Linked DNA regions of Mus musculus. The protein of the gene in region 7 purifies or fractionates together with the protein of the main gene of each other region. This does not show direct contact. Links are inferred from orthologs where the notes say so. Each region holds a gene or a part of one and is shown on either strand. Other genes may lie near its edges.

What was found.
Region 1: the proteins of Snrpd2 (region 7) and Ddx20 purify together in Homo sapiens (affinity purification with mass spectrometry; 3 studies listed by BioGRID and IntAct, with this or other methods). This does not show direct contact. The link is inferred for Mus musculus from reciprocal best matches to the Homo sapiens genes SNRPD2 and DDX20.
Region 2: the proteins of Snrpd2 (region 7) and Ddx23 purify together in Homo sapiens (affinity purification with mass spectrometry; 3 studies listed by BioGRID and IntAct, counting the BioPlex papers as one, with this or other methods). This does not show direct contact. The link is inferred for Mus musculus from reciprocal best matches to the Homo sapiens genes SNRPD2 and DDX23.
Region 3: the proteins of Snrpd2 (region 7) and Cdc5l fractionate together in Homo sapiens (co-fractionation; 3 studies listed by BioGRID, with this or other methods). This does not show direct contact. The link is inferred for Mus musculus from reciprocal best matches to the Homo sapiens genes SNRPD2 and CDC5L.
Region 4: the proteins of Snrpd2 (region 7) and Sf3b1 fractionate together in Homo sapiens (co-fractionation; 5 studies listed by BioGRID and IntAct, with this or other methods). This does not show direct contact. The link is inferred for Mus musculus from reciprocal best matches to the Homo sapiens genes SNRPD2 and SF3B1.
Region 5: the proteins of Snrpd2 (region 7) and Snrpa1 purify together in Homo sapiens (affinity purification with mass spectrometry; 5 studies listed by BioGRID and IntAct, counting the BioPlex papers as one, with this or other methods). This does not show direct contact. The link is inferred for Mus musculus from reciprocal best matches to the Homo sapiens genes SNRPD2 and SNRPA1.
Region 6: the proteins of Snrpd2 (region 7) and Sf3a1 fractionate together in Homo sapiens (co-fractionation; 3 studies listed by BioGRID and IntAct, with this or other methods). This does not show direct contact. The link is inferred for Mus musculus from reciprocal best matches to the Homo sapiens genes SNRPD2 and SF3A1.

The regions. Positions count from the first base shown.
Region 1 is NC_000069.6:105,681,267-105,684,571, reverse strand, and holds part of Ddx20 (probable ATP-dependent RNA helicase DDX20), read left to right. Parts: intron 1-118; coding exon 119-287; intron 288-1,041; coding exon 1,042-1,156; intron 1,157-1,276; coding exon 1,277-1,419; intron 1,420-1,556; coding exon 1,557-1,695; intron 1,696-1,787; coding exon 1,788-1,846; intron 1,847-3,305.
Region 2 is NC_000081.6:98,645,890-98,649,389, reverse strand, and holds part of Ddx23 (probable ATP-dependent RNA helicase DDX23), read left to right. Parts: intron 1-660; coding exon 661-903; intron 904-1,764; coding exon 1,765-1,916; intron 1,917-2,118; coding exon 2,119-2,227; intron 2,228-2,871; coding exon 2,872-3,046; intron 3,047-3,372; coding exon 3,373-3,500. UniProt on the Homo sapiens protein: Involved in pre-mRNA splicing and its phosphorylated form (by SRPK2) is required for spliceosomal B complex formation.
Region 3 is NC_000083.6:45,423,708-45,427,207, reverse strand, and holds part of Cdc5l (cell division cycle 5-like protein), read left to right. Parts: intron 1-526; coding exon 527-688; intron 689-1,228; coding exon 1,229-1,356; intron 1,357-2,607; coding exon 2,608-2,707; intron 2,708-3,500.
Region 4 is NC_000067.6:54,987,074-54,989,478, reverse strand, and holds part of Sf3b1 (splicing factor 3B subunit 1), read left to right. Parts: intron 1-1,323; coding exon 1,324-1,540; intron 1,541-1,986; coding exon 1,987-2,145; 3' UTR 2,146-2,405. UniProt on the Homo sapiens protein: Component of the 17S U2 SnRNP complex of the spliceosome, a large ribonucleoprotein complex that removes introns from transcribed pre-mRNAs.
Region 5 is NC_000073.6:66,059,017-66,063,135, reverse strand, and holds the start of Snrpa1 (U2 small nuclear ribonucleoprotein A'), read right to left. Parts: upstream 2,801-4,119; 5' UTR 2,526-2,800; coding exon 2,444-2,525; intron 1,013-2,443; coding exon 865-1,012; intron 1-864. UniProt on the Homo sapiens protein: Involved in pre-mRNA splicing as component of the spliceosome. Associated with sn-RNP U2, where it contributes to the binding of stem loop IV of U2 snRNA.
Region 6 is NC_000077.6:4,163,354-4,166,853, reverse strand, and holds part of Sf3a1 (splicing factor 3A subunit 1), read right to left. Parts: intron 359-3,500; coding exon 151-358; intron 1-150. UniProt on the Homo sapiens protein: Component of the 17S U2 SnRNP complex of the spliceosome, a large ribonucleoprotein complex that removes introns from transcribed pre-mRNAs.
Region 7 is NC_000073.6:19,148,655-19,152,637, forward strand, and holds the start of Snrpd2 (small nuclear ribonucleoprotein Sm D2), read left to right. Parts: upstream 1-1,183; 5' UTR 1,184-1,238; coding exon 1,239-1,240; intron 1,241-2,563; coding exon 2,564-2,743; intron 2,744-3,821; coding exon 3,822-3,983. Other genes in the region: Qpctl (glutaminyl-peptide cyclotransferase-like protein), read right to left, coding at 322-531. UniProt on the Homo sapiens protein: Plays a role in pre-mRNA splicing as a core component of the spliceosomal U1, U2, U4 and U5 small nuclear ribonucleoproteins (snRNPs), the building blocks of the spliceosome.

The DNA.
Region 1 (3,305 bases), on a different chromosome or scaffold from region 7:
GCTGAATTTTTCTCTTGTCTTAAAACTCATCTCTTAAAATGTAGTGTATTGCAACAAATGGATGTACCACTCAAATGTATTCCTCTGACTTGTTAGAATGTTTTGCAATTTATTTTAGATTTTGATATTGGCTCCCACAAGAGAAATTGCTGTTCAGATACACTCGGTTATCACAGCCATTGGAATAAAAATGGAAGGATTAGAATGTCATGTCTTTATTGGAGGGACTCCATTATCACAAGACAAAACCAGACTTAAAAAGTGTCATATTGCTGTTGGATCTCCTGGTAAGTCATTAAGACCTCTTGGTAGCTGAAGTTCTTGAAGACTAGAACAGTGAGCATGCCAATCAAATGGGAGTTTTGATGGTGGTGATAATTGCTTTCAGCATAAATGGAAGAGTATTAGACCAGAGAGACACATGGCTGGGTTTTCAACAGAATCTGTTCCTCTCCATTCTGAAGAGTGTTGGAGAATACCCATGGGATCAGCTTCTGAGACCTGAAGTGACTTTAGGAAGCCTGTTTAAGCCGTGGATTGAGGTTTCTTTTGTTCTCTCTGGTTATTTGCTCACAAATCACTCAGAATCAGAACCTAGGATTCAGTGCCATAGCATTCAAGTTTTGTTTTTGTTTTTGTTTTCGAGACAAGGTTTCTCTGTATAGCCCTGGCTGTCCTGGAACTCACTCTGTAGACCAGGCTGGCCTTGAACTCAGAAATCCACCTGCCTCTGCCTCAGGAGTGCTGGGATTAAAGGCGTGTGCCATCACGCCCAGCTAGCATTCAAGTATTTTGGTAGCAGTAATGTTTGTTTATTAGCAGTAATGTTTGTTTACCAAAGTTACTGGTGATGAAAAGGGAGGGGACAAAGAATGGATTCAGACTTTAAGATTACTTAGACCGTTAGGTGGTATGTAACGGTACACTGTAAGGAAATTAAGCAGTCTAACCTGTGGATAAATACTGTAAAGCATTCCTGAGGTTTGTACAGATTTGATATGTCATAAGTATTTCAGGTTTTGTTGTTTTCCTGCCATACAGGTAGAATTAAACAGCTCATAGAACTTGACTACCTGAATCCGGGCAGTATCCGTCTCTTTATTCTTGATGAAGCAGATAAGCTTTTAGAAGAAGGCAGTTTCCAGGAGCAAATAAAGTAAGAAAACTAGCCTGAATACAAAAATGTTGCACCAAAGCATTTCTCTATAGCTTTCCCGGTAGTGTGTGCTGTCTGCATGGTGTGTGTTCATGGTGTGTGCTTTCCTGTATTTTACAGTTGGATTTACTCCTCTTTACCTGCGAGTAAGCAGATGTTGGCAGTATCTGCTACTTACCCTGAAGTTTTGGCTAATGCTTTGACAAGGTATATGAGAGATCCCACTTTTGTAAGATTGAATCCCAGCGATCCAAGTCTCATAGGTGTGTATAGATTTTACATTATTAGTTTGTGATGTCCTGGGGCTTTCCCTCGTCTGATTGGCTATTTCCATGTCATAGTTGCTATTGGAATTTACCACACTTGTTTGTTTTAACTGGGACTCTTGACTTCTTTATAGGTTTGAAGCAGTACTACCAAGTTGTCAATTCTTACCCTTTGGCTCATAAGATTTTTGAGGAAAAGACTCAGCACTTACAGGAACTTTTTAGTAAAGTCCCATTTAATCAAGCCTTGGTGTTTTCTAATTTGCACAGCAGGTAATAGAACTTAATCTAGGGAACTTAAAAAACCTAAAGACTAGGGCATGGGGCAGTAGTTGAAGGTTGTAAATCTTTTTCTTTTTTTGTAGAGCTCAACATTTGGCTGATATCCTTTCTTCTAAAGGTTTTCCTACTGAATGCATTTCAGGCAAGTTCAGCACTCTGTTTTTGTTTAATGTATTGCTTTGAAGCCTTCCATGTCATGAGAGAAAAATATCACTTCTCAAATTGTCTCAAGAGTGTGATGTCAATCTCCTGTTTTTTTTTTTTTTTCTTTTTTTTGTGTATGTTTTGTTTTGAAGGAGTAACTTGGTGTATAGTAATAATTTAGAAAATCAGTGATCAGAAATACTTAAATTTTTAATTAAAATCTCTGAGTTATACTTGCAAAGAACTTAATACTACAAAATAAACTCTATCTTCATTGTCTTGAGATATATTTTGTTCAATATAATCAAGTCATTATTAAAATGCTTAAAAATTAAACAAGGTATGGTGTTGCATGTCCTCTAGAGACAGAGGCAGGAAGATCATGGGCTTAAGGCCATATTTGCATATGCTACATTTTAGGTCGTTATAGGCTGCATAGAAAGCAAACATGCTAAGACTAGCTGAGTTTTGATCTATCGTCTCTGCTCCCCTACCATCAGACTTGACCTTTTATATATATGTGTAAGTGCTCTCCTACTGAGCTATACCTCCCACCCATGAATCGACTTAATGTTCATCCACAGAGTTTGTTAATTGCTGGATTAATAGAAAAGATTTAAAGGAATTTTTGGTCAGTGAGCTCCTTTGTTTTATATGCTGTAGTGTAATTTTTCACTTGTTAGCTGGAACATGCTCAGTATTAGGAAGACTGTTTCTTTTTTTTTTAAAGATTTATTTATGTATTATATGTAAGTTGTCTTCAGACACTCCAGAAGAGGGAGTCAAATCTCATTATGGATGGTTGTGAGCCACCATGTGGTTGCTGGGATTTGAACTCGGGACCTTCGGAAGAACAGTCGGCACTCTTAACCACTGAGCCATCTCGCCAGCCCAGGAAGACTGTTTCTTAATGGTCTGCTAGCTTAACTCTGGATCACATTTCAAACCCAGATAAGTGGGCTATTGAAGGGATTCAGTGTTAAAAGCCTTTCCTGTGCAATCGTGTGCACAGGAATTTGGATCTCAGCACCCACGTGACAAGCCAAGTAGTATTCTTGCCCCTGGGGATCTAATGTCTCTCCTGGCCTCAGTGTGCATAGGCACATTCACCTGTATACACAGACACAGAGACAAGCACACAGACCCGCAGATCTTAAAAACAAGATTCATAAAGAGCTAGGAAGAACATTCACTGTCAGACACATAGCTACAAGCATTGCAGACTCACAAATCTTAAAAAAGAGTTGGAAAGAACATTTTTTCTTTAAGTATTTATTGTTAGACTTTGTAATGTTGCCATTTAAAATTGATTTTTGATTTTCAAATTGATAGCCTAAATTATACTTTGAAAAATACTGACTTTAGATTTTAGCACTCATATTTGCACAGAACAGAATTAACTAACTGGTTGGTATATTTCTTTAAAACTTTAAGACTGGGAGTTAGGATTCTTGCTT
Region 2 (3,500 bases), on a different chromosome or scaffold from region 7:
TCTCTGCCTCTCTCCTTCCACAGTGCTCCCTAGCCTCTCTCCTCCCACAGTGCTCCCTAGCCTCTCTCCTCCCACAGTGCTCCCTAGCCTCTCTCCTCCCACATTGTTCCCTAGCCTCTCTCCTCCCACAGTGCTCCCTAGCCTCTCTCCTCCCACAGTGCTCCCTAGCCTCTCTCCTCCCACAGTGCTCCCTAGCCTCTCTCCTCCCACACTGCTCCCTAGCCTCTCTCCTCCCACAGTGCTCCCTAGCCTCTCTCCTCCCACAGTGCTCCCTAGCCTCTCTCCTCCCACAGTGCTCCCTAGCCTCTTTCCTCCCACAGTGCTCCCTAGCCTCTCTCCTCCCACAGTGCTCCCTAGCCTCTCTCCTTCCACAGTGCTCCCTAGCCTTTTTTCCATCTAAGCTAGTTCCTCCTAATTCCCCCACCTGTCTAACCCTCGCTCTTATTTAGAAACCCCATTCACTCCTGAGGGAAACAGAAGGTACCAGGTGGTTTCATGTCCGATCTCTGGGACCTTAAGTACCAAATCTGGCTGGAGGTTGAGGTCCAAGCTCCTTAGCATTGAGGGTCTGTTGCCTAGATGGGTAGATAGTTCACAACAGAGGGGAAAAAGATGGGCGTTGTCTGCTAAGGCCATCTGTGATCACACTGTGTCCTCCAGATTGTGATCGCCACCCCGGGGCGCCTGATCGATGTGCTGGAGAACCGGTACCTGGTGCTGAGCCGCTGCACCTACGTGGTTCTGGATGAGGCGGATAGGATGATTGACATGGGCTTTGAGCCAGATGTGCAGAAGATCCTGGAACACATGCCTGTCAGCAACCAGAAGCCGGACACAGATGAGGCTGAGGACCCGGAGAAGATGTTGGCCAACTTTGAATCAGGAAAACATAAATACCGTCAAGTAAGGCGGCTTTCTTGGGAGAAGCTGAACCAGTTCCCAAGTCTTGTTTGCAGACCTTCCTTGCCCAGGGAGGGCCCAGTGCACATGCCTCCAGCATGCTAGCCGTGCCTGTGTACAGTCCTCTGACTGCCGAGGGGTAGAGCCATGTAGCTTAGCCTAAAAAGCTGATTCTAGAGAATCATGCTACTGCCAAGGAAGGAAAAAGTGCCAGGCATAGTGGTTCCTGCCAAAGCCCCAGCATTCAGGGGGAGGTGGAATATGGGGACTGAGCTAGCTTGTCTGATACGTGAGCTCCAGGCCAGTCAGATCTATGTAGCAAGATCCTGTCTCAAAAAAGTAAACAACAGTAAGGACTGAGGGGCTGGTGAGCCAGCTCAGGAGTGAGGAGCACTGGTTGCCCTTCCAGAGTTCAGTTCCCAGCACCCACTTGGTGGCATCTAGAAAGGGCTCTGATGTGTAGGTGTACAGAGAGCGCTCATGTATGAAAAAAAAAAAAGCCGGGCGTGGTGGTGCACGCCTTTAATCCCAGCACTCGGGAGGCAGAGGCAGGTGGATCTCTGTGAATTTGAGGCCAGTCTGGTCTACAGAGTGAGTTCCAGGACAGCCAGGGCTACACAGAGAAACTCTATTTTGAAAAGACAATAATAATAATGGTGATGCTGATGTCAGGAATCAAGATGCTACCTGGATCACAGGTGGTAGCAAACGCTCCCAGTCCTTCCTAGCAAGAGACGAAAAGGCAAAGAACAGTTTCCAGGGTGACAGTGTGAGAGTTATAGCAGGACTCATGGTTTTAACCTGAGTTGGGCTGCTTGTGCTGACAGTCTGCCTGGGTCCAGGGCTGAACCTCCTGTTTTATAGACAGTCATGTTCACGGCTACTATGCCCCCAGCGGTGGAGCGTCTAGCCAGGAGCTATCTTCGGCGACCTGCTGTGGTGTACATTGGCTCTGCAGGCAAGCCCCATGAGCGGGTGGAACAGAAGGTCTTCCTCATGTCGGAATCAGAAAAGAGGTATGGGGGAGGCTGAGCGGGGAAACCTGGGTGCTTTTGTCTGACACTTCCCTTTGTGGGGCGGCTGTCGGGTGGGTGCTTTACTGTTTCCTTTCTTGTAAGGTCTCTGTTGACTTTGGAGTTCATTCATTGCTGGGGTTGAGTGTTGGGCTTACTGAGTCTGGAGGGTATTGTGTACCTCATTCTCCTCCCCCACCCCCAGGAAGAAGCTGCTGGCCATCTTGGAACAAGGTTTTGATCCGCCTATCATCATTTTTGTCAACCAGAAGAAGGGTTGTGATGTGTTGGCCAAGTCTCTGGAGAAGATGGGGGTACGTCTGGCAGGCAGAGCAAAGCCAGCCCTGGTGCTGCTGCTCTCTGAAACTAGGAATGGAGTGGGGAGTGTCGGCTCCACTCACTGTTTAATCTTTACACCATCTAACAAGCCAGGGCCAAGAGAAAGGAGTGAGAACTGATCAGTTACTAGAAATCCCTTCTAGTCCCGCCACAGCAGCCAGATGCCGTTCTCTGTCTAACAGGGGTGGGGCCGGGGAGGCAGGTCCTGGCATGGCAGAGTGTGAGACTGTAGACAGCGGGTCTGTGCTCAGATGAGCACCATGAGGATGGAGAGGGGAGGGGTGCCGATGACCAGGCCTGTACTGCTAACGAGGGAAAGGGACTGTCCTCTCTACTCAGCTCCTGCCATCCTTACCCCCTAGCCCGTTACCTCCCCACCTGCTTGGCTCTTCATCTCAGCACACTGGGCCTCTGTCTCTGTTCTACCTGCCCCCCCCTACCCCCAGAACGCCGTGTTGTCTTTCATTTCTTGCTCTAGCTCCCATGTTCTTTCCTCACTTCACTGAACCCCTTCTCTGGCTTCCTGTGCCCTCTCCTGCCATCTGCTCTCTCCCACCTTCTGCTCTTGGACCTCCCTGGTCCCACTCCTCTCCCTGAGCCCATTGCCTTCTACCTACAGTATAACGCCTGTACACTGCATGGCGGCAAAGGCCAGGAGCAGCGAGAATTTGCATTGTCCAACCTCAAGGCTGGAGCCAAGGATATTTTGGTGGCTACAGATGTGGCTGGCCGTGGTATTGATATCCAAGATGTGTCTATGGTTGTCAACTATGATATGGCCAAAAATATTGAAGGTGAGTTGCTGAGAGGGTTAGGAGAGACTGCTTATATTCTCTCTCAGAGTCAGGGTGCACTGGGAGCCTCTGCTTTAGTCTGGAGTGACATCCCAGTGTCAAGGCTGACCCTTGATGGTGTGGAGAGTGGTGCTGGCTAGGAGAGCCTTAGTGTTGTATGCGACAAGTCGGCAGTGGGGTGGAGGATGGGCAGAGTCGCGAGCACTCTGGCTTTACCGGGTGTAGACAGCAGGAGGTGGGTGGCTTGCCTGTGGAGTGGAGTGGGGTGGAGGTCTCTGTAGACCAGACGACTGGCTTGGTCCCGAGTGACATCCTCTGTTCCCCAGATTACATTCACAGAATTGGCCGCACAGGAAGAGCGGGCAAGAGTGGCGTAGCCATCACCTTCCTCACCAAGGAGGACTCAGCGGTGTTCTATGAACTGAAGCAGGCCATCCTGGAGAGCCCAGTGTCG
Region 3 (3,500 bases), on a different chromosome or scaffold from region 7:
GTACGCCTTTGATCCCAGCATGGAAGGCGGAGGCAGGCAGATCTCTGAGTACCAGGCCAGCCTGGTCTACAGGTGGATTTCTGAGTTCAAGGCCAGCCTGGTCTACAGGTGGATTTCTGAGTTCAAGGCCAGCCTGGTCTACAGGTGGAGTTCCAGGACAGCCAGGGCTACACAGAGAAACCCTGCCTCACCACCACCCCCCCCCCCAAAAAAAAAAACCCAAAAGAAAACAACACAGTTACCAACAAAAACCAAACCAAATGACAACAAAAAAAGATTAAACAAATAAATACTAGTTAAAGAAGTCACATGATTGCATTTTGCACTTCAGTCTATTAGGTTTTTAAGTATTACCAATCTTACGTACTTAAAATACATTGTAATGTGAAGAGGGGAAGAAGAGTAAGTTTAACTTCACAATGAATTCTCTTGTCAGAGATAGTATTGGTGATTGAGGGGTGAGAGCATGTGATCTTAGAGTCAGAACATGGTAATTGACTAACGTTTGCGATGTTGCCTTTAATAGGTACGAATGGCTGGATCCAAGTATTAAAAAAACTGAATGGTCCAGAGAAGAGGAAGAAAAACTCTTGCACCTGGCCAAGCTGATGCCAACGCAGTGGAGGACCATTGCTCCGATCATAGGAAGAACAGCAGCCCAGTGCTTGGAACACTATGAGTTCCTCCTGTGAGTGAAAACTGTGCATTTGTTAATGTGCTGAACAAACTTAGAGCATTTCCAGCTTGTGACTAAAGCCATAGAAACTAAAGTCCCCGAATTCTGTATTCCAGATGTCACATGGTTGAATAAAATTATGTCTTCTGCCTCTCCTTTAGAAGTGTGCAAGTCACACTCATCTTAGGGGGCAGAGAGAGAGAGAGAGTGTGTGAGTGTGTGTGTTTGTGCACGAGGCCCCATCGCCTGGGCTGCTGAGAGTTTATTAGGACCTTCTTGTTCTGTTCCAGCAGTGTGTTTGTCTGGATGTTCTGCATTTGTGAGGAAGGGCTGCTTGTCATTGGGTTTCACCATGCGTGGAAATACCGAAATTAGAGAATTTTAATGCCGTTTTATTCACGGGAAGCAATTGTAAAGATGCTGTTTTCCATAGTGCTCATCTGTTGTTTATTTTGGGAAGGAGAGAGTGCCAGAGCTAGAACTTCGGTAATTCTCATACTAAATGGTGTGATACGGGACTAACTCATCTGTGATTTTTTTTTTCCCTTCAAGGGACAAAACTGCCCAAAGGGACAATGAAGAAGAAACAACAGATGACCCCCGAAAGCTTAAGCCTGGAGAGATAGATCCAAACCCAGAGACCAAGCCAGCCCGGCCTGACCCGATAGACATGGATGAGGGTGAGTGGATGCTGGGGAGTGCTCAGCTCACTGTACAGGACTCAGGCCTTCTTGGTTCTCCTGTCCTGACTGTTAGAGACCCAGTTCTGTCAGTGGTTATTCGAGGAGGCGTCTCCCCGAGTGTGTCTGTCAGTGGTTATTCCATCTCCCCGAGTGTGTCTGGTCCTGTTTTTATTAGACTGTTTTTTTGAGGATGCCCCTTATTTTCTGCTTCTTCATTTCATTTAATGAATCGAGCAGTGAAGTAGGCAGATGTCCTAGAGGCGTGAGCCTCGAAGGATCCTGTCTCATTCCCTTTGTAGAAGGAGAGGCGACAAGCTAGCATGTCGGGCCTTGCTGTTTCTTTGACTTTAGGGTGATTTCCTTTCCAGGAAAGAGCTGTGCTACAAGAGCTGTGCTGGAGGCTCCCAGTGAGTCTGTGACACATGGAGTCAAGAGTTGGGGATTGGGCTTTGGCTCCATCTCTGCTATTTATTAGCTATTTGACCTTAGCTAAGTCATATATGCTTTCTGACCTTGAGTTTTCCCTGCTGAGGGTGGAGAATAAAATCTACTTTACCTTTTTGTGGGTACTTGGTAGTTTTTTTCAGATTTAAAGTTTGAATGCAGCGGTTCCCAAGAGTGACTAGTCTGTGAAGATGCTTTCTACATCCTTTCCACTTGGGGAACTTTTAAAGTTACAGGCACCAGGTCCTCCCCTGGAGATACTAAGTTGGTAATTCTTACTGAGGGAAGAGAGAGGACTGTGATCTGAGTGAAATCTAAGTCTTGTCCATCATTATGACACTTATGTTGTTGTTCTATTCGGGAGAGCTGTAGAAATGTCTTAGAGAAGAGACAGTTTTGAGGGAAGGAATGTCTTTGAAGGTTGTCTGTTCCCCGGGATGAGTTGTTGCTTTCTTTCTCTGCTGCTGCTGTGTTGGTGATTCGGATGTTCCTGTAGTAGAGCTTTCTGTGAGTGAATACTTGCTGCTTGCTTGAGATACGTCATTTTTCTTAGCATCTCTGAAGTAGACATTCTTACTCTGATTTTAATGGGAAACGTTCGCAGAGATAAATGTGGGACCAGGCTTACAAACTAGTAAGTTAGTGATGGGATGACTTGTAACCTGACTTGCTCTGACTCCAGGTTTTCTGTGCCCTGTACAGTAGTTAGTGCATGGATGCTTTTGTCATTGTGAGCCCTAGGATTTGCCTGACTGCTGATGTCAGAGAGGAGCTTACTTTTTTTTTTTTGTCTTTATTTTGCAGATGAACTTGAGATGCTCTCCGAGGCTCGAGCCCGTCTGGCCAATACTCAAGGAAAGAAGGCTAAAAGGAAAGCAAGAGAAAAGCAGTTGGAAGAAGCCAGGCACGTTTTTTCATTCTGTGTGCAATAATTAGTTGTGCATCCTTAGGCTCAGGAAATTGTATAGCTGTCTGTTCCAGTTGGTGACTAGTCTGAGCTGATCAATTCTCATTTTGCTATTACTCCTTAGTGTCTTTATTGATCTGGAACAAAAACAACTTCTGTATTTTCTCCCTATTTCAGAATAGTTATAGGAAAAGTACACTTAAAAGTTTACAAAGTATGGCAGAAATTATGGGCACATATTTGACCCAGCGTGCTCTGTTTAATCTCTTGTAGCATTTTGGCATCAGGTGGCTTTCACATGACTGTCAGTTCTTCATTCTCCTTGATTAGTTGGGCAGGTACTGGCTGTGAGGCTGATCATAGAGGCAATTAATGAGCCTTGAGCCAAATTCTAGGCTGTCAGAGAAGTCTTCATTTAAAAAGTGAGCGACCTTTATTAGGCATGGTTCTTTGCTCAGGCTTTCCCCCACCTTCTCCTTGCTTCCTTTTGGTTGAATTTATATCGTTCTGATGCCCAGAAGCCAATATAAAGTTGGTAAAGATACCATCTGAACTGTGTGGCAGCCTGTGGGATTCAGGTATTGGACAAACTCCCCATCCCACAGTCTACTTAGAACCTTTTTTTGACTCCTGCGCTGTCTAGAACTTGCTCTTGACCTGGTGGGTAGCTAGCACTGTGTTGTATTCCCAGTGCTGGATCCTGGGATAAAGGATGCTTTTTGGCATAGCTGGCCATTCATCAATGTAAGAGTAGTCAGAATTGATGGGCGTGTGATACACAAGAGATAGA
Region 4 (2,405 bases), on a different chromosome or scaffold from region 7:
GTAGCCTGTAATCTCAACTACTGTGGAAGCTGATGCTGGGGGATTGAAACTTTCCACGCCAACCTGTGCACCTGCCCTGTCTCACAACAACATTTTGAGAGTTAGGTGGGGGGTTGTAATTCAGTGGTAAAGCACATTTCTGTCATGCAAGAAGCCCATATATAGATTCAGTCCCTGGTATAGCCAGTTACTCAGGGACCTTCATAAAGGTCATTTTATAAACAGATTTAGTGAGGTACTAGGAAGTGCAGATGTAAGTTATGGAGTCAGTCTGAAAAGGCTACCTTTCTGGGACCAAACAAAATAGCAGTAAATCACCTTGCTTCTCCCTTAGACTGCTTCTTAGTGAGGAATTCCTGAACATTACAACTGTTGAGAGGTGGGACTTGAGGTTAAAAGTTTTGTTCTGAATGGATGGAATTTTGTGAAAAGAAAACATGACTTGTCTCTTCACATACTGACTACAAATAAAAGTGATAGTAGAATTGAAAATTTGGCAAACTTTCTGTTGTGGGGGCTGTTATTCATAAGAAAAAAAAGGTTCTTGAATATTATACTGCAAAATATATTTGAATCTCATATACTCAGTTAATATATCAAATTTATTTATAGAAAATTTAGACTCCTGTCAAATCTTTTTGTAATTTTCATGTAAATTTAATCACCAGAATAATTTTCTATTCATTCTTTATTGAGATCTCAACTGTTTTAGAAAGGTTTTCAAGTTCATAATATTTTGAAGTTCATAAAATTTTGAAGTTCATAATATTTGTTGCTTCTATATTTATTTTAAAAATACTGTGCTTTAGAGATTGTTTTCAATTCTAAAGAAATTTTTAGAAAGTGTGCAAGTTGAGGTAGTAACTTGAAAATTACTAAAAAGAATACTTCTTCAGCTGTGAAACATTGAAACTTTATCATTAAATAAGTTAGATAGCAAATTATAGTGTTCAGATTTTTTTCCTAATGCCTTTGAGGGGTTGTTAATATTTTGGCAGAAAGTATGAACACTATTTTGGTTGCACTCAGTATATGAATAATAGATTGATATGTCCTGGATACAAATTCAGATGCTGCTAGAGATAAAAATTCTTATTTGTGCAGGTTTAAAAACCTAGTAGATTTTTCTCTTAAATTGAATTTTTGAATGAAATCATACCAGTTTGAGAACAAATTTCATTTTGACTTGTGACTTAACTATCAAATATTTAAGGTTACAGAATTTAAAATGAGATTGACTCCTGAGAGTAATTAGTTCCGCATGTACAAGTGAATATAAAAATGGGACTGATTTAAAGAGACTTTTCCCTTCCATTATTACAGGGACCTTGTTCACAGACAGACAGCGAGTGCAGTGGTGCAGCACATGTCACTTGGTGTTTACGGATTTGGCTGTGAGGATTCTCTGAATCACTTACTGAACTATGTGTGGCCTAATGTGTTTGAGACATCTCCCCATGTAATCCAGGCAGTTATGGGAGCTCTGGAGGGCCTGAGGGTTGCTATTGGACCATGCAGAATGTTGCAGTATTGCTTACAGGTAGGTTAAATGTGGGTTTTTACTTTTTTTTTATTAAATGCGGGGATTGCTCAAAAAATTACTTAAATATGTTGAAGTCAGTCATTCCCTAATTACCATGTGGAAGACAGTTCTGTATTGAGATACAGATTAGATTAAATTAGGTTAGATTTTGTATTTACCCACCACAATTTTGTTACTCAGTTTCCAGACTTTTTTTCCTTCCCTCTTCAAAGTAAGTACTTTTGTTTTATTTTATTTTTTGAGCCTTGGCTGGCCTGGAACTTACTATGTAGACCAGGCCAGCATTGAAGTAGATAGATCCACTTGCTTCTGTTTCTAAGTGCTAGGATTTAAATGTGTGTGCCACCATGCATCATATTTATAGCTAATAGTGTATTAAAGTTTGTTTATTTATTTATTTTCCCCTTGAAGATAGAAGTAACTCTACCTTTTATTTATTCTAGGGTCTGTTCCACCCAGCTCGGAAAGTCAGAGACGTATATTGGAAAATTTACAACTCCATCTACATTGGCTCCCAGGATGCTCTCATAGCACATTACCCACGAATCTACAATGACGATAAGAACACCTATATTCGTTACGAACTTGACTATATCTTGTAACTTTGTGTCTAATACAGCTGTTTCACACCTTAAACCTGCTTCAATCTGATGATATAAACTTGTAAAACATTGCCGATCAGTGTAGAGCTGGTCATAGTGGAGGGATAGAAATCCAGTAGCATGATTTTTAAATAACTTTTGTTTTTTTGATGTTAAACAGTAAATGGCAGTAGTGACCAAGGACAGTGCTTATACACACTATACTGGAGGGATATCATTTTTTATTCATCTTTATGAAGATTTAGAATTCATTCCTTGTG
Region 5 (4,119 bases), about 47 Mb from region 7:
ATCCTAGCACTCAGAAGGCAAAGGGAGGCAGATCTCTGAGTTTGAGGCCAGCCTGGTCTACAGAGTGAGTTCCAGGACAGCCAGGGCTCACAGAGAAACCCCACTCATACAAACAAATATGATCTTAATTTCACAGAATTATATTGTAGAAACCAACTACAAAAACCAAAACCAGCATAGTGGATGAGGTATAGGTACTCAGTGAAAAGTAACTTTATTTCATAAAAAGATTTTTACTGTGACAGGGTCTCACTATGTAGCCCTGGCTGGAATTTGCTGTCAACAAGGCTGTCCTTGAACTCAGAGATCAGCCTGCCTCAGACTCCAGAGTGTTAGGATTAAAGGCAGATACCACTACACATGGCCTTTATAAATCTTTTTAATTATGATGCTATTGATGACTACTCTAAAATCTGATTTGTTGACATAGCACAATGCTTCAAATTCAAAGTTTAATGTCAGTTACGAATATTAAAGATTTCTGAAGAGTAGCAAGTAAGGTCAGGCCAATGCCCAAGTTAATCTCCAACCTCTTAGGAAAAGGGCTCTATTCATTTCTCCCTTTAAGACACATGGGCAGGCTGGAGTGGTGGCTCAGCAACTTAGAGCCCTGGCTGATCTTCCAGAGGACCCAGATTCTATTCCTACAGCTGGAGCAGCTCAGGACTATCTGTAAACCTAGCTCCAGAGAAGCCAAGGCCCTCCTCTGGCCTCCAGAGGCACTAGGAGGGTGTGTGGTACCTGCAAGCAAAAAACTAATATACATTAAAACAAAACAAAACAACAACCAAAACCCCATTATCTTCAGGGTACATTAGAACACTTACTTAAGGGAAGAAAGTATTCTCACTAGCAGTCACTCACCAAATTCTGTTGTTGTTCACTAATAATGTTTTCAGTCTTCTCAACAAAGGGAAACCGTCCAGTTTCCGGATCTCATTGTCAGAAAAATCAATAGCATCAAACTGGTCTAAGGTGGCACCCAGATTCTCAATAACCGGAATTTTATATCCTGTAGAGGGAAAACATACATACAACAAATATTAATATAAATGAAAAGTCCTGAAAATCGCAGGAGTATGTGATGGAATTTGACTCAGCGCTCCCATTCGGGAAGTATTAACCAGGCACTAGCACCATGCCGTGCACTGAACAAAAATAAGGTAAATGACGAAAGGGTTAAGTGGAGGCCTTAGTGCTACAAAGCTTGAAGTAAAACTGAAGAGGCTGAAGGCAAGAGGAAGAACAGATGGGCATATTTACTAGTATTGGTGCCCATGGTTTATTAAGAACGTCTATGAGGTATTCACATTCGTCACTGAGCTAGGTACTATAAGGAAGGACACAACCCAGCTGTGAAGGAGTGCAATAAAAGATATGGTAGCAGAATAAGCATTCTCCAGACTGCACGGTTTTCAGAGAGACAGCAGACATCAAAACTGTGCCAAGACAGTGAAAGGACCCAGATGCTCCTGAACCGGACTTTTCTCCAAGAAAGTTAATTTCATTCAACAAACACAAAGAACACTAGGATTTCCCATAGGCAGGAAGAAACTTTCAAAAATGGCAGTGCACAGCGCCCCCGAGACTTTGATTGCCTCTGGTCACAGTCTTATAATCTTAACCCCTTCCAAAGCCATCTCCTGAATAGTTAACGATTACCTCTCAGTTCTATGTTTTAAAAATCAAGTGCTACTTCTGTCAGAACTGAACAGGTGAGTTCCGCCACCCCACACACAGAAGTGACCATTATGCCACGGTCAAACAGCTCAATCTTGAAAACACCAAATTATCCGGGGCTGCGGGTCTGGCTCAGTAGCGCGAGTGCTTTCCTGACAGACATGAAACCCTGGGCTCATCCAAAGCACCATATAAACGTGGTGCAGGCATTTAAACCCAGCTCCCAGGAAGTGGAGGCAAGAGGGTCCGAAGTTCGAGATAAACCTTAACTATATAACGGTTTGAAGTCAGCTCGGAATACACGAGACGTTGTCTCAAAAACAAATGAACAAAACCAAACCGGAATTATTGGGGCAATTAAGGTAACTCTGGTACATATCCACCCTACCCTCAGGTGCCACATTAACGCTTTTGCTAAAAAACAAACAAACAAACAAACAAACAAACAAACAAAAAACACCAGCCAGCAGCCGGCCTGTCCGTAGCGTTTTCTATTTTCCTAGTCCTCCAACAGTTAAAGCTGCTCGATGAGCGGGGCAATGCCTAGTGAGTACGGTCCGGGGAAGGAATCGAGGCGCCGTGTTTGCTAGCCGGAACGCCGGTAACAAACAGCCCCAAAGGGCCCTGCGGGACGGTGGATCGGAGGCGCCCAGCCCGGGTGGAGGCCCACGGGCCAGGCTCCAGCCTCTGCGCACGCGGCGGGGCTGGTTTCCCGCAGCCACGCGCCGGGGCCGGAACACAGCCCGCGCTCCGTCTAACTCACCCCGGAGGTCCAGTTCACGGTCCCGTACGGCATTTGTGTACTGCGCCGCCTGCTCGATCAGCTCCGCCGTCAGCTTCACCATCCTGTCGCAGCCCGCGGACCCTCACCTCCGACACCAGCCTGCGCCTCCCGCCAGTGCCGTGTCCCACAGTGCACCGCGCCTCGCCGCCAGACAGCACCAATCGTATCCCCGCGCAGCTCGACCGCCAGGCTAAAGCAATCGAAGACGTAGCCCCCGTGTCTTTGCTTCTGGGTTCTGGGCTTGAGCGTGCCTGGGAGTGTGGGGAGCCCAGATTCCAGTTTTTTTAATCCAAAAGATAAGAACACGCGAGGGATGCTCTGTCTCACGTCAGTGAACCTCAAGGGAGGGGTAGTTGGGACTACTCTCCCTTCTCCACCCAACAAGGGGCGGAGACTGTGAAGTCTCCTGAAAGTCAAGTTCCTAAATGTCTAACTTGGGCTTCCGCAGGTAAGGGGCAGGACCCGTAGGCTGGATTGCCTTAAAACAGAACCCTTCTGACCTGGTACAGTCACCTTAAAGCTTGAGGGTGAACTTGTAGCCTGTAGACATTTAGGTGTTCATACCAAAGCGCTGGTCAGGTGGCTTAGAGGTTAAGAGCACTTGCAACTTTTGTAACGGACTTGAGTTGGCATTCCAATATCCGTCTGGACACCTGACAACTGCTTGTAACTTCAGCCTCAGGGGATTTGCCGTCCATTTCTAGCCTCCTCAGACACCGGCAACCGCAAACACACACACACACACACAAATAAAATAAACCATAAGTGATATTCATATTGACTAGCTGTGATGGAGAATGCCTTTAATCCTAGCAGTTTGGAGACAGAAGGAGGTGGATCTCGGAGATAGAGGCCATCCTCGCCTACAGAGCCAGTTCCAGAACAACCAGGGATACACAGAGAAACTCTATCTCAAGCAAACAAACAACACCAAAAAAATTCATACGAAGTGCAGGGGAATACACATATCAGAAATTGCCATGTGATGAGTGCCCCACAGTGAATACAATATACCTGCAGAGCCTTGGCCTCTGTCTCCAAAGGCTTAAATGCACAAAATCATGTGCATATTTTTTTAAATCATAGCTTACTAATTAATGTACATGCCCACCTGTGTATACGTGATGACCCCTTCAGCCCTAGGCCATCAACTCCAACTGAGGCTGCACCTTCACTAGTGACCATCCCTGGCCTCTCACAGTGCCAAGCCTTAAATGCACGAAATCATATGCGTATTTTTTTTAAATCATAGCTTACTAATTAATGTACATGCCCACCTGTGTATAGGTGCAGGGGAGGCTTCAGCCTAAAATTCCCTGGAGCTGGCCGTTGTGATCCTTTGGACATGTGTGCTAGAAGTCAACCCCTGGTCCTCAGCATGAGCAGAAAACACTCTTAAAAATACTTTTAGAAATTATTTGTTATATCTCTGTGGTTTTGGGCACATGAGTGCAGATACCCACAAAGGCCAGAGGTGCCAGATACTCTGAAGTCGGGGTTACACGTGGTTGCTGGGATCTGAACTCTGGTCCTCTGAAAGAGCTGTACACACTCTCTTACCTGCTGAGTCATGGAATGACTGACCTGAGAAGGAACTTGAACAGCTCACTCTCCTGCCTCCATCTTCATGTGCTAGGATTATTGGAGTGAGTTTA
Region 6 (3,500 bases), on a different chromosome or scaffold from region 7:
TCAGCCTGGAGGACAGAGCTTCACAACCAGTGTGCAGAAGCTTCTAGAAGCTGATGGTAACTTTATTTCTGCCCATGGTGGTTGTGATCGTGCACAGCAGAGATAATTATGCCCGCCCACTAACCCACAAAGAGAGGCTGGACTGCAAACCTTCTGGGGCAGCTGCTGTTGCGTAGCTTGCTGCTGCTGCTGCATAACCTTGGGGATGGCAGCTGAGGGCTCCTGAGCCTTCCCCTCCTTGAACTCGCTGACCTTGTGGCGGTAGTAGGCATGGTAAGGGTCATTGGGATTTAAGAAATTGAACTTGGGGTTGTTGATCTCATTCTGTCGAATCCTAGCTTCAAATTCAGGCCCATTTCTGTAAAAAATTAAAATAAGATAAACAACATACCAAAGAATGAATTCACTTGGGAGGCAGAGGCAGCAGGATTTCTGAGTTCAAGGCCAGCCTGGTCTACAGAGTGAGTTCCAGGACGGCCAGGGCTACACAGAGAAACCCTGTCTCGAAAAGCCAAAAAAAAAAAAAAAAAGAATTCTACAACCTCTGTGACCACTCAGACCCAAATCTCCTTCTATTTCACCATCTGTGCCACCACCCACTCACCAAGCAGTCCATGCCTAAGGATAGGAGAGCTGCCCTGGAGCACTGAGGAAGCTGTTTGTTTTTTGAGCATCAAGGAATCAGTCGGTGCCACCAGACAGTGTGGGCCTGGCTGCTTCCACCACAGCCGTTCCTTAGCTCCCCTGCCACTTCTGATACCCACAATCAGCTGAGCAACTGCTTAGTTCTTGTAATAAAACACTTATTCTTTGGCTAAGAATGCAGCATAACTGTAGAGTACGTATCTAAGGTCGAAAAGGCCCTGGATTGGGTACCAAGCTCCATAAAAACAAAAAGGATAAAAACCTTGAACAGCTAGTAAGTATTAATGTCTTGCCCAAGTACTGCCTAAAGTAACTTCATTTATGACTGGGAGGTTCACGAAGGAAAAACTGCTCTGCAAGATTTCTATCTTCTGTATATATCCTGGATAAGGCTACAGTGTGGTGGCTGAGTGCGTAAAGGTCCTTGCTGACATGATGGACACTCTGAGTTCTGGTTCCAGTTGGTAAAAGGGTGGGCGAACTGACTCTCATCAAGTTATACTCTGTCTGATCCATGTGTATGTGTGTGTCCATGTCATGCACACATACGGGTGTATACCCACACTAAAGAAATGCCGTACTCCAGGATAATGAAAATGTTTGGAGAATCCTGATATTTAGGGTCTCAGTGGATATAACTCAAGAACCATAGTTTTTTTCTCTTATTTGTTGAGATACAGTCTCCCAAGTCCAGGCTAAGGACTGGCCCTGCCAGGACTTGCCTACCTTTACTTCTAGGTGCAGTTAAGTGTGCCACCAAACCTAGCTCCGAGTATCACACTTGCTAAAAGGCACATAAGTCTTAAAAAGACACAAGATACCTTCAAGTTTCTTGTTCACTACTTTTTCCCATATGTCAAATGTGGCTAATACCACTTTTCCTCTGTATCTTCAAATACTGAAAACATTTACTTAAGTAGTATTTAAGGAGATGCTCAAGACTTTTTGAATACAATGGTCTGCAAACACAGAGGGCAGCTACCACTGTGTAGCTTAGAAGGGGCAGTTCCACCAACACTGGAGATGACTGGCCTATCAGGAGATACCCTGGGGGCTTCCCCTGATTCTCTGGCCAGAAGCCTGCATTCAGAGGTGCCCCAAATATACCAAGCCAAGGTTCCAGGGACTAGTGACAGATAGGCTATGCTTTCTCCAGACTTTCACACCCATGGTTCTGTCAATTAAACAGAGCAGCAGACAAGATGCAGGCAACTTTAAGGTTAAGATTAGCCATCACCACAGATCCAGAGGCAGAGACTGTGGAAGCCTTGGCCTCTAGCAAGTTCTGGTCCCGCCCTGTAGCGTGACTAATACATGAGGTCTCAATCTGACTGTGCACTAGGCCAATTAGAACCTCATGCTGTGGAAAGAAGCATTTCCTACCTCCCTATGTAATGCAAACCATACACAAGCAGGATGGATACAGCTCTGGGTCCTGCCAGATCAGGTCCCATGCCTGGAGGTCTGCTTGTCTCTTGCAGTACTGCCTCCTAAGCCATGGTCTCAACACATCAGGGAAGGCAGATGTTCTTATTCCAAGAAATTCCAGTGCTCTAAGTTGGCTTACTGTTAATTTTAGAATTAGATCCTCTAACACAAGAGACAGATTTCAGCAGAAGAGCCTGACTCTAACTCAGCCCAGCTGGCAGGGCTTTTTGAAGGTAATTTCCAATCTAGCTTTCTGAAAGGAAAATGCAGGAATGGGAAGACTCGACAGAGAAAAAGCTCCTTTTACAAAGTCAGACTTGACTGCAGATACCCACCGCCTGCCTCCTGAGTATGTGGCCTAGCAGAGGAGAGATCTAAATACCAGCTCTCTCAGACCAAGATTCTGACCTGCCCCTTAACTGTAAAACATGCAAAAGCAAGATCTGAATTTATTTGCAGTTTCTGAGGGGGCGGGGGGAAAACGCATGTGTTTATGCTCACATGGAGACCAGAGGCCTCCTGTATCATTTTCATTCTTAGTCTTTGATACAGGGTCTTACACTGAACCTGGAACTCACCATTATGGCACGGTTAGGCAGGCTGGCCAACCAGCAAGCTCCAAGGAGTGGCCTACCTTTACTCATCAGGGCTGGGGACAGACAGACAGACAGACACACACACACACAGGCGCACTCGCGCACCTCCCTCCCCCAAGCACCCCCCCTCCCCCAAGCTTTTCTGCAGTTGCTGGAGACCCAAGCTCAAGTCCTAATGCTTGTATTGCAAACATTATCCATGGAGTCATTTCAACTTCAGATTTTAGAATCCCTACAAAAATGATCACCACGGATAAAAAAACCCATCTGGAAACATGGTGAGATTTTTACACTACTAGAAATAGAAATCATATTCTATACATGGAAACACACACTCACTCTATCACTAAGCTACACAACCAACTCATTTATTTTTTGTTTTTAGCTTTGATTGATATAAAACTCACAAGACCAGAGTGGCCTTGAACTCACAGACATCTACCTGCCTCTGCCTCATACATTATGGGACTTGAAGGTATGTGCCATGACTGGCTGCAATCCACTTCGTTTTCCTTTTCTAGGAAAGGAAAGGAAAGGAAAGGAAAGGAAAGGAAAGGAAAGGAAAGGAAAGGAAAGGAAAATTGACTCTGTGTAGGCATGTGTACATGCATGTGTATTCAGATTCTGTAAGTTGTGAGTTGCCTGACATGGGTGCTGGGAGCCAAACTTAGGTCCTATGTAGGAGCAGAAAGCGGCCTTAACTTCTGAGCCACTTCTCCAGCCTCCATTTCCTGTCATTAAAACAGGGCCCACTGTGTTACAAGGCTAGTCTCTACCTTCCAATAGTCCTTTCTAGCACCAAGATTACAGGTATGTATCATGCCATGCCCA
Region 7 (3,983 bases):
TGGGAGAAATCTTCAAAGCAAATCTGGTCCAGCCTACCGCAGTCCTAACGAGGAAATTGCAATCGGGTGATGGAAATTTCTAAATAGATGGCTTGGGCATAGAACTCAGTTCTACCAGTGTTGCTATGAGGACTCGTCATCTTCAGTGGGGTCTATCACAAAACAAGCCTGAAGCCTTATTTTGTTGGGTAGGGGCACGCGCTCAAGTCATGGATAAATGGCACAGGCGGCAAAAGCCAAATGATAAGACCACGGTAACCTGAGACTCAATACGAAGGGAAAGAGGGAAATGACGCTGGCTGGGCACCAGCCAGGGCTCACCCGCAGATCCCGGCTCCGTGACATCTCCTCAACCCCAGGGTGCCAGCTGTTCCAGACGATATAGAAAGCCAAGCCCATAGCCAGCGCCAGCAGCAGCAGGGGCAGGAACTGCACTCGCGGCAGAAGACGGCGCTTGGAAAGTGAGGGTGGTTTCATGAGGCCACGATCCTCGAGCCGCTGCCGGGGCCGCCCGCGGCTCCCGGGACTCATGGTAGCTTTGCTCTGAAACCAATCCCGGTATGGTGGTTTGAGTTTTAGGCCAAGATCCGCCTCGCTGAGGTTACAAAACCCAATAAAGAAGCAGAGTAACTGCGTCCTTCCCTGAGACGATTGCGATTGGCTGTCCTAAGCGCCGCCCCACCCAAAAAGGAGGGCGGAAACCTTAAGGCCCGCCTCCACGGAAGAGGACCAGTCAATGGGCTGCGTCCGAATGTGCGAAACCTTCCAAGGCGCGGGGTCACGCCCCTCACGGAAGTCGATCAAGAAACTGTCGTTCAAGGAAAAAAGGGGCGGCATCCATCCCTAAAACAAGGAGCCGATTGGTTTACCTGAAGCCATGCCCTCAAGAAAAGTGTCCGAGGGTATTTGGAAATGGGGTTGTGTTTTCCATCTTCCAACTGGACGGTTTGACGGGAAAATAATTCTAGTCAGACCCCGTATTATTTTCCTCATGAGCAGACACCCTATTGTGATCCTCAGAAGCTTCAAATCCTCCTTATAGGCATTTTCTACAGGAGAGTGCAGCCTGAAGGGTCGCTATGGTAACAGGCCACGCCCACAGCCGCTGGTATTTGGTTGCGCAGGCGCCGACGGAAGTGAGCCGCAGGAGACGGAAGTCCCGCCCTTCTCGCCCTGTACGCCAAAGGCTGGAGCAACGCGCTTGGAGGCGGGAGTGATCTGCGAGCGAAACCTACACCATGTGAGGCCGGGCTGGGCTTTGGCGGGGCCGTGGAGATGGAGGTGGACAGTTTAGCTGAATAACGGTCGAAATGGGGTGTTTTTATAGCTGAGGGTAGAGTTCCTCGGGCAAAAGTAATGTTTTTCCTTCTGGGGTATTTGAGATCGGGCTTGGGGCCTCGCTCGGATCTTGAGTTCCGGAGAGGGGACAGCTTTATTCCATAACGGGCATGAGACTCTCCGAGGTCCTGAGTCTTGTGGAAAGGAACCATAAAGGGAAAGCTGAGTCTGATGGCACATGCCTGGAATCCCAGGCCTCGAGAGGCTGATGCAGGAGGTTCGCTAGTTGGCCTTGGCCAGCTTCATAGCGAGACCGCTTCCAAAAGTAATAGTAATTTTAAATGGAAGTGGTCTTATGAATAAAGAGCTTGGCGGGGAAGGAAGAACTGTTAGAAATAGTGAAAAGTATGGGACGTAACCAGGATAAATTAGAGAACCTAACTAGAGACTGTCAGAGTAGCAGGGTACTACAGTGGTTTGGTGCGTGTTTATTCATTGAGCATATACTATGTAGACTGCTTGTAAGTTAAGACACATGGTAAATAAAAGGTCCTTGCCTCCAAGGGGGTGGGGGAATCTCCCTGGTGCTTGTAAAAAGAGTGGAGTAGGAAAGCCATAGAGTAATAAATAGGTACATACACCTTAGATAATCAGGTTTGGATGGAGAATTGAGCAGGAAAGATATAATGCCAGTAGGTAGCACAGTAGGATGCATTGAAAGCCCAGTTCTTGGGATGCAGATTTAGCTCAGTGGACAGAGTACTTACCTACTGTGGGTACTGGGTTTGGTCCTTAACCACACACAAACTAGACATAGTGGCACGTGCCTGTACTCCCAATACTCAGGAGGCAGAGACAAGTCTGAGTTCTGGGGCAGCCAGGCTTCTACAGTGAGATGTTGTGGGGTGGGGCGGAGGTTCATGGAGAGAGATGATTGAAGTTTAGGTTGCGGATAGAAAGGGCCAAGGTTTGGATGTACCATGGTGGCAGATGACAAGATATAAGGATAGAGTAAGGTTTGAAAGAAGAATCAACTGCCAGGCATGATGGTGAGCCTCTGTCATCTCAGACCTTAGGCAGTGGAGTCAGGAGAATTGAGAATTCAAGGTCAGCGGTGGGTGGAAGAGGTTAGGTAGATGAGCCGGGGCAGGCTACCATGGAAATGTCTCTCCTGCCTCCAGAAAAGACTGCACCAGAAAGGGGGCTGGGGAGACACTGGACAGTGTGGCTTTGATCACGTACATTTCCAACTTGAACCCATCTCACCCCTGGGTTCTCTATCCAGGAGTCTCCTCAATAAACCCAAGAGTGAGATGACCCCAGAGGAGCTGCAGAAGCGGGAGGAGGAGGAATTCAACACAGGTCCCCTCTCAGTGCTCACGCAGTCGGTCAAGAACAACACGCAAGTGCTCATTAACTGTCGCAACAACAAGAAGCTGCTGGGCCGGGTGAAGGCCTTTGACAGGTGAGTGCTGTCTTGGGGAGGGCTGGGTCTGGGTCCGAGGGGCCTGAAGGAAAGGTCATTCCAGAAGGATAATAAGGTGGGCACACACGGTGACAAAGCACCTTTAATCTCAGCACTCGGGGAATCACTATGAGTTGGAGGCCAGCCAGTGTCTCATGGCACGACCTAGCTCAAAAATGTAGAAAGTGGCGATGCTTAACCTTTTTATAATACATATCTTACGTGTTTAGGTGTTTTGTCTGCATATGAGTCTGTATGCTATGGACATGTCTAGTAGTTATCAGAATCCCCTGGCAGGAAATTGGACTGGAATTTCGATATTTGATTTGTTTATCTGTAGACCAGACATCAGTGTCAAATATCTTGTATTGCTTTGTAGTTTGTTTTGAGACAGGGTCTTTACTATGTAGCTCGAACTGGCTACAGATGTGGCAGAGGCTAACCTTACACTTCTAATCCTCCTGCTCCCATCTCCCGAGCGCTGGGATTACAGGATTGCATGAAGCATGCCGTCCTGCTTTATTGTTTTAGTTAGCATGGGACTTGCCTTGTGACTTAGCCATACACATCTGGCACTGTACTTTGCTCTTATTCACTGTCCTCAAGCAAGCATTTGTGGAAAGAACTGATCCAAGTGTGAACAATGGCCACCCGGCCCCATGAGGACAGGACTGTGCAGCACTGGAGTGCGCGTGTTGGGAGCCGTGTCTAACCCCAGCACCCTAAGACCCTCTGGAGGGAGCAAGTGCTTCTCTCCTGCTGTTTCTCTCAGAGTTAGAGTTAACGCCAGAGCCAGGGCCATTTTGGTGGGCTTTACTCTGCTGGGTCCTGAGTTCTTTATTCATCCAATCTTCACACCAGCCCTATGAAATAGACTGTCTCCATTTCATGAAGGGGGAAACTGAGGCACAGAAGGGACACTATAAAGTGAAATCACTTTGCAGCCTGCCCATCCCCACTGTGGAGCCTGGGCTTTCCTTATGCCTGCTGCTGGAGAGTTCACACAGTGCCAGGCAAAGGTGGGCACTCGGAATGCCCCCCCTTACTCCAGCTTCCCCCCCCACCCCTACCCCATCAGGCACTGCAACATGGTGCTGGAAAATGTGAAGGAGATGTGGACTGAGGTTCCCAAGAGCGGCAAGGGCAAGAAGAAATCCAAGCCTGTCAACAAGGACCGCTACATCTCCAAGATGTTCCTGCGCGGGGACTCGGTCATCGTGGTGCTGCGGAACCCACTCAT